2 linked regions of the Macaca mulatta genome follow. The protein of the gene in region 1 purifies or fractionates together with the protein of each later gene. This does not show direct contact. Links are inferred from orthologs where the notes say so. Each region holds a gene or a part of one and is shown on either strand. Other genes may lie near its edges.

Region 1 (3,931 bases):
GTTTGGAAGAACAAGGCAGGCAGATCACAAGGTCAAGACCAACCTGCCCAACATGGTGAAACCCCATCTCTACTAAAAATAAAAAAATTAGCTGGGCATGGTGTCGCACGCCTGTAGTCCTAGCTACTTGGGAGGCTGAGGCAGGAGAATCGCTTGAACCCGGGAGGTGGAGGCTACAGTGAGCCGAGATTGCGCCATTGCACTCCAGCCTGGCAACAGAGCAAGACTCGTCTCAAAAAAGAGAGGCCCTGACCCGTGAACGGTGCACAGACCTACCATCTCTTCCACTAAGAAAATCTCGGTTCACTGCAACCTTTGCCTCCCGGGTTCAAGCAGTTCTCCTGCCTCAGCCTCCTGAGTAGATGGGATTACAGACACCCACCCCCATGCCTAGCTAATTTTTGTATTTTTAGTAGAGACGGGGTTTCACCATGTTGGCCAGGCTGGTCTTGAACTCCTGACCACAAGTGATCTGCTGGCCTTGGCCTCCCAAAGTGCTGGGATTACAGGCGTGAGCCACTGTGCCTGGCCTTCTATTGCAATTTATTTATTTGTTTATTTTTTTTATGTTTTTGAGACAGGGTCTCACTCTGTCGCCCAGGCTGGAGTACAGTGGTGCAATCTCAGCTCACAGCAATCTCCACCTCCCGGGTTCAAGAAATTCTCCTACCTCAGCCTCCTGAGTAGCTGGGATTACAGGCACCTGCCACCACACCCGGCTAATTTTTATATTTTTAGTAGAGACAGGGTTTCACCACATTGGCCAGGCTGGTCTCAAACTCCTGACCTCATGTGATCCGCCCACCTTGGCCTCCCAAAGTGTTGGGATGACAGGTGTGAGCCACCGCACCCAGCCAGAATTTAAAATAAAAATGATGGTACTATATAGATAATACTGAGTCCTCTCCAGTTCAGTGTGGGGGGATTTGTGTTTAATAAACCTAGGTTCACCATAATAAACATGTTCCTCTGCCCAGCAGTTAAGAAGAGCTATAAGCAGTCAAAAGCTAGTGAAGAGTTTTTGTTTTGTTTTGAGACGGAGTCTCGCTCTGTTGCACGGGCTGGAGTGCAGTGGCACGATCTCGGCTCACTGCAAGCTCTGCTTCCTAGGTTCACGCCATTCTCCTGCTTCAGCCTCCTGAGTAGCTGGGACTATAGGCGCCCGCCACCATGCCTGGCTAATTTTTGGGGTTTTAGTAGAGACAGGGTTTCACTTTGTTAGCCAGGATGATCTCAATCTCCTGACTTCGTGATCCGCCCGCCTTGGACTTCCAAAGTGTTGGGATTACAGGTGTGAGCCACCGCGCCCGGCCGTGAGGAGTTTTAAGTAGGGGCACTGTGGACCAGATTTTGGCTCTGGAAATATATTTGTGATAGAGGTGAGGAGGTGGTGGTTGGAGGGAGTAAGGAGGATGGAGATGGAAGGAAGACAAAAGGTAGGAAAGGATTGGAGGGCACAGTCGGGAGTTAGTGGTAGACTCAGCAGGAGTTGGTTGCTATTCAGATGTGTTGGGGAGAGTGACAGCCATAGCTGACTCTTGGGGTCATTCACTAAGCAGGGGAGGCCCAGGAAGATACGCAGATGCAAGCAGAGAAACTCACTCTGGGCACAAGGTGGCTGTGGGATCACCTGGTGGGGATCAGTCCTTCTGTGTAGCTTGGGAAGTCAGTCAGGGATGGGGCCATCAGACATGCTGTGGCCTCGCAAAAGTGCACAGTCAGTCAGGCAGGAGTTGGATTTTCCAGTTCTGCTGCTTTCGCTGCCATGTGATCATGGGCAAGTTCCTTGAACTACCTACACATGTTTTGTTGAGTATTAGTTGGGAATGATACTTACCCTGACAAATCATTACTAGGATTAACTAATGTAATGTATGCAAAGTACCCAGTACCTTGCACCTAGTAGGTGTTTTTGTTGGTTTGTTGTTGTTGTTATTGAAACAAGGTCTCGCTCTGTCACCCAGGCTGGGGTGCAGTGTTGTGATCATAGCTTACTGCAGCCTCGAACTCCTGGGCTCAAGCAATCCTCCCACCTCAGACTCCCAAAGCGCTGGGATTGTAAGTGTGAGCCACCATGCCCAGCTAATAAACCATAGCTTTTTTTCTAGCCTAGAGTCTACAGAGTAAAAGACATGGAATCAAATACGGTAAATCCTAGATCTTGTTCTTATATTTATTTTTGGTAACATTTAAGTGACACATTTTATCCTTTTTAGTAGCCGCTCCAGCATTATAGGGAGACAGAGTATGGGGAAAGTCTTGTGTAAGTGCAAATAGCATTCCATTTGTTGAGAAAACAGCCCAGCGAAGCACGCTGAAGCGGAGAAAGCTTTCCTTTGGGGCAGCACTTGGAAGGAGAAGGGAACATGTCCTAGGAGTGGGATCAGGTAGCATGTTTTGCACGGGGTGGGGCAGGTTGGCTCACCTGCAGTCTGAAGTGTTGGGAAAGGAGGGAGTGAGACTCTCCAGGAAAGCTTTGGAGATCTGTTCTCAGTGTCATCAGTTCTCTTCAAACATTTCTAATTTTTCACCTTTTCTTCCCTTCCATGTTACTTGCCTTGCTCTACAGATTTTGATCCAAACAATATCTTCAAGGCTTTCTTCGGCGGTCCTGGAGGCTTCAGCTTTGAAGGTAGGTGGGCCTGCTGTTGCTGGGAGTTCCCAGATCACAGGCCAACACACTCACTGCCACTTCGGCAGCTCTTCGGGAGTCAGCGGGGCCATGAGAGGGGGCGGCTGAGTTCTCATCTAGCATGGCATCTATCCACTCGGCTGTTGCTAAGGATGAAGACAGGAAGGCACCCCTTGCCTTGGGACCTTTAGCCACTGCATCTCTGCAGGGTCAGGGGGCATCTCTGACTGCCTACTGCCGAGGCTTCTCTACAAGAGCAAAGGTGTTTAGAAGCTGCCTACGTATAATACGGTCACCTGCTCCTTCTTGCACCCCAAAACAGCCTGAGCTGTTTGATACCCATAGAGTTTCTGTCTGCGTTTGAGTTTGAAGCAGCCCTTGAAAACTTTTCCATAATCAGAGCAAAGTGATCTTCCCTAGAAAATCCAGAGCCAACTACCAAGCCCTTCTTTTCTCTTTCAGCATCTGGTCCAGGGAGTTTCTTTTTTCAATTTGGCTAATGAAGGGCAACCACCCAGAACCCAGAAAATGCAGATTCACTCAGTTTAATCTTGAATGTGGAAACAGTTCACCTCCTCCCTTCATCACGTCTCCATGTACTTAGAGCAGTTTCGTTTTCTCAGTTGGATGCCCTGTGTCTCTGTGAGTGGGGTGGAGCAAAGGGAACCAATGCCGAAGACCGCGGGCAGGGGAGGGAGGCGGGGGTGGACAGGGAGGCAGCTTGTGAATTTTTGTTTTACTGTTTAACTTTATTAAAAAAGAAAAAAAAAAAGAAGAGAATAAAATGTTTTGACCCTTTCTGGCCCTTTGCTCTGGCATCTGCTTTGTCTCCATAGTCTGTGAGCCAGAGCTGAGCCCGACCTGGACTTGGGGTGCAGCAAGCTGCCACAGGTAGGCTGTGAGCACCGAGCCTAGTGGCAGGTGGGGCACTCTGCCTCTCCCAGACCTGTCCCACATGTGAGTGCTAGGCAGGCCCTGGCTGTGCCGCTGGGCCCAGCCTGACATCAGTCACGAAGAAGCGAGTTCAGAAAGCATGCTCACCTTACAGTGGGGCCCCAGAAATCACTAGAAGCTGTGTGCGTCCAAAGCTCAGGTGGGTACTGACCTAGACAGGGCAGTTTACTTACAAAGGCTCTCTCAGTTCCTGTTGCAGTGTGGGTTCGAGGGAGATGGTAGACAGAGATAAAACCCTGCCTCTTGACCCCCAGACCTGTTTGAAGTGGGACGGGTGGCTCCAGAGCTCTGGTCTGGCCACTCACTATTTTTAGCAAAAGCCCCTGGCCTTCTCTGCTCCCTTTC
Region 2 (3,649 bases), on another chromosome or scaffold:
AAGGATCTACCTCAGTTCTCACAACCATTTGTGAAAACAAGCAAAAAAACTCTCAATCATTCCTACACTGTTTAACAGATATTTTCTGAGTACCTACTACGTGGCCAGCCCCTTGAGATGTTGGTGGCTGATAGTGAAGCACTTGTAGCCATGACACTTGCCATATGTGGGCATTCAAATGATCCTAATCCTCTGCCTTCAGAGAAGGAGAAGGTCTGGCCTTTGTTCCATTCTCATATACAATCTCTTGTCTGAGTACCAAGTTACTATGGTGATGGATTCTTGGAAGGGCAGACACAGACAGATGGATAGGTTGATGTGTTTTGCCCAAACATGCAGATACTTCAGCAACTGGATGCTCTGGAAATGCTGAAGCAGCAGAGAATGCGCTATCCTTCAATGAGGGCTTTCGGTTGAGAGCTCCAACAGGGAGACATTTGTTCTGCAATGTGTCCAGAGGTGGCAACGGTTACCATATAGAAGTGTAAATCAGATGCTATGGAACATGAAACACCCAACTTCAATTAGAAGGCTAAATAGGCAGCAAAACAGAAAAATCAGGTTCCCCAGTCAGAGAGGTACTGGTCCAATTCTGGCTCTCCTGCTGACTAGATTTGTGACTTGGCATGGCACATTTAGCCTCTTCATCCTTGCACAGCTGTTGGCAATATTCAAGGTTACATAGGTTAAGTGCTCAGCCAGGGCCTGACACAGAGAGGGAAGTCAACTTAAAAAAAATATGATTAATAACATCAGCGAAAGTTCTATACTTGCTTTGGCTCCAACTTCAGATGCCGTTGTATGTTTTGTGCAGCCCATTTTACCAACAGAAATCTTGAGGAGCAGAAGTCACCCATTTATCTGAGCCAGAAATAGAAGCTGAGTTTCTATTCTCAGTAGAGGTGAGACCATGCCTCACACTGTGTGGCAGTCCTCCCTTATTGTCCTCATGGCACCCTGGCTCACATTACCTCCCTGCCACTTCCTAGCTATGAAACTTCAGGCAAATTTCTTCACCTCTTTACCCTTCAGTTTTCTCATCTGCAAAATGGGAATCATAATGATGGTAGCTATACCATAGGGCTGTTGTGAGGATTAAATGAGAAGATACACTGCAGTGCACAGCACTTTGCTCAGTAACCACAGAGGCTTGGAGAGGAGGCAGCACCTCTTAAGGGCCTGTAGCAAGTGAGTGTGGCCCAGGAGGGTGTGACTCCAAAGCCAATGGTCTTTCCATGCTCCATAGTCTTTCACCACCAAACAATCACATCCCCAGGATGAAGTCATCTATCTTGGGACCTACAGATGGGAAGGGCTTGGTAGCCTTCCTGAAATGTATGTCTTGGCAGTGACTTCTCCTGCTCCTTCTAGAAGGTGACAGTCTGTGTTGCCTACCTTTCTGGGCTTCCTCAAAGCGATCGTTCTCTGCTAGCCACTGAGCATACGGAACGTAGATGTCATCCTTAAACTCAGGATGCTTCTCACCCAAAGCAAAGGCCTGGGGGAAGGAGCAAATGAAGTCTTAATAAAACTGCCCCTGCAGCCCCCATGAAAACACTGCACTTGGCTGAATTCATTAGGGATGTCATATTTTGCCAGCCTGACGACTCAGAGAGGGAGAGTGCCTCCCCCAAAAACTACCCACAGAAACGCAAAAACAAATCAGCTCTTCGAAAACAAAAGGCAATTAACAGCAATATGCAAGCGACTGGATTCAGTAACAACACAGTCTGTTTCTGGACCACAGAAGCGGCACAGAATCGGAAACATTTTATTTTGAGGGTTTGCGTGGGCTCCTGTAGTGCTGCAAACAGATTTCTTTTAATTGCAGGCGATACCTAAGGAAACAGAATTGACATTATCATCATTACCACTTCTTATCAGTTGTCAAAGATGACTGTGGGCCTTGAGCTGTATGGACCCACTGACTACTTCTCACCTAAGCCCCAGAATCACCTGTCAGGCCAGGAGAACTGGACATGAGCCATGGGGAGAAAGTCTGCCTGATGCACAGCGAGGTCTGAGTCATTCTAAGATGCTCTAATCTACGCTGCTTGAGAAATCTAATAAATTTCTCTTGAGAAGCCACCATTGCCTCTGTCCCTAGCCCCACCTTTTCTCATGAGTGACCTCAACACCTCACCAAATGGAGCCATCCAGAGAGCAGACAACAGTCAGATGGCTCCTCTCAGTGAAGGCTTTGCTTTCACTCTAAAATGGACCATGACGGGTGGGTGGGTGAGTCGGGGGAGGATCTTGGCACAGCTCCTAATCCTCTCGGGGATGGATTTCTCTGAAGGGCACAGGGAGCCGGTGAGCTGGAGGGTGGGGGTTGGCCACAGAAGGGGCAGCATTAGCTGCTTCTGCCAGCCATGGCCACTTTTCTCACTGGCCTGGCTAATTCTTTACAGCCCCCAACACCAGAGAGAGAAGCAGTGGTTGTGGGGTGGGGGCAGAGAAGGGAGGGAAAAAACTGGCCCCTGAAATGACTCTCGCAGTCTGGATCTGGAAAGCACAGATGGTGCTTTCTGCCAAAATGTTGCCCAGCAGGTTTTAAATGTCACGCAGGTGCATCTTCACATCAGCCACGTGTCTGAGCCTGTGGTGCTGGTCAGAGGCAGCTCAGCCCAATGGCAGGCACTGGAGCTGTTGTGTTCACACTCACATCCCCGGTGCCTGTCACCACCCTGGCACAGAGCTGGCTGTCAGTAACGATTTTCTCAATGACTGAATGAACGGACAAGTGGAAAGGCGCTCCACTTCGAGGTTAAGTTGCTCAGAGAATTCGAGGTTCAGAGAATTCGAGGTTAAGTTGCCTGACTGCCAGCCCAATGTTCCTTTCATCACGAGGGCAACTTCTCTCCATTTGAACCCCAAAGGGCCCCTGTACCCACCCGTGTCCCAGGGCTCAGGTGGGGCCCCAGCCCACGAGGCCTGCTTTCCCCTCACCTCATCCCAGCGCTGGGTCTCCACGTGCAGCTGCACCAGGGACTTGAGGTCACCCATCTTCAGGTAGGTCTCGGCAGCATAGCCAGGGCTGTCCAGCTTCTTGAGGTAGGTAGCACACAGCAGCAGCGGCTCGCGCTCAGCCTTGTCCAGCTTGCGGGCGATGTCGATCAACCTGGAGAGGAAAGGGGCAGGTAGGAGGGGGGGCTCTGGGTCTTGTCAAGGGCAGGCCGTATGTCCATTCACCCTGCAGTCCCCAATGTTGATACCGTGCCATGGCCCCTGCGAGCTGCTCAGTGGTTAGTTATTAAATGCATGAATACACACTCCAGAAACATCACCAGGGACCGGGAGAGGTGGCCTTTACAGGATCCCATCAGCCACCTCGTGTATCTTTCTCAGAAGTCACTGAGCTATCCAGCAGGGCATAGAAACAATTATCTCCTAATCCCCTACCAGTACCCAGATAATGCCATGAGCTTTCCCATGCATGAAATCAGAATCTTCACCACCCTAAGAGGTGGGCACTATTATTTCCATCTCTCAGATGAGAATAAAGTCTGGGGGGAAGGTGAAGCACCCAGCCCAAGACTCAGCAGCCAGGAAGTAGCCCAGTGCTCTTTCCACCACAGGTGCAGGAATTCTCACAGAAAAGTGGAGGCCAAGGCATAAGAATACCTCATTGACTGCCCTCTAAAGGAAG

What was found. Proteins that work in one complex are often made in the same cells at the same time.
Region 2: the proteins of DNAJC7 (region 1) and IFT122 purify together in Homo sapiens (co-immunoprecipitation; 3 studies listed by BioGRID and IntAct, counting the BioPlex papers as one, with this or other methods). This does not show direct contact. The link is inferred for Macaca mulatta from reciprocal best matches to the Homo sapiens genes DNAJC7 and IFT122.

Annotation. Positions count from the first base shown.
Region 1 is NC_133421.1:66,317,668-66,321,598, reverse strand, and holds the end of DNAJC7 (dnaJ homolog subfamily C member 7), read left to right. Parts: intron 1-1,291; exon of another isoform or gene 1,292-2,569; coding exon 2,570-2,632; exon of another isoform or gene 2,633-3,094; coding exon 3,095-3,132; 3' UTR 3,133-3,349; downstream 3,350-3,931. UniProt on the Homo sapiens protein: Acts as a co-chaperone regulating the molecular chaperones HSP70 and HSP90 in folding of steroid receptors, such as the glucocorticoid receptor and the progesterone receptor.
Region 2 is NC_133407.1:154,425,215-154,428,863, forward strand, and holds part of IFT122 (intraflagellar transport protein 122 homolog), read right to left. Parts: intron 3,122-3,649; coding exon 2,950-3,121; intron 1,499-2,949; coding exon 1,396-1,498; intron 1-1,395. UniProt on the Homo sapiens protein: As a component of the IFT complex A (IFT-A), a complex required for retrograde ciliary transport and entry into cilia of G protein-coupled receptors (GPCRs), it is required in ciliogenesis and ciliary protein trafficking.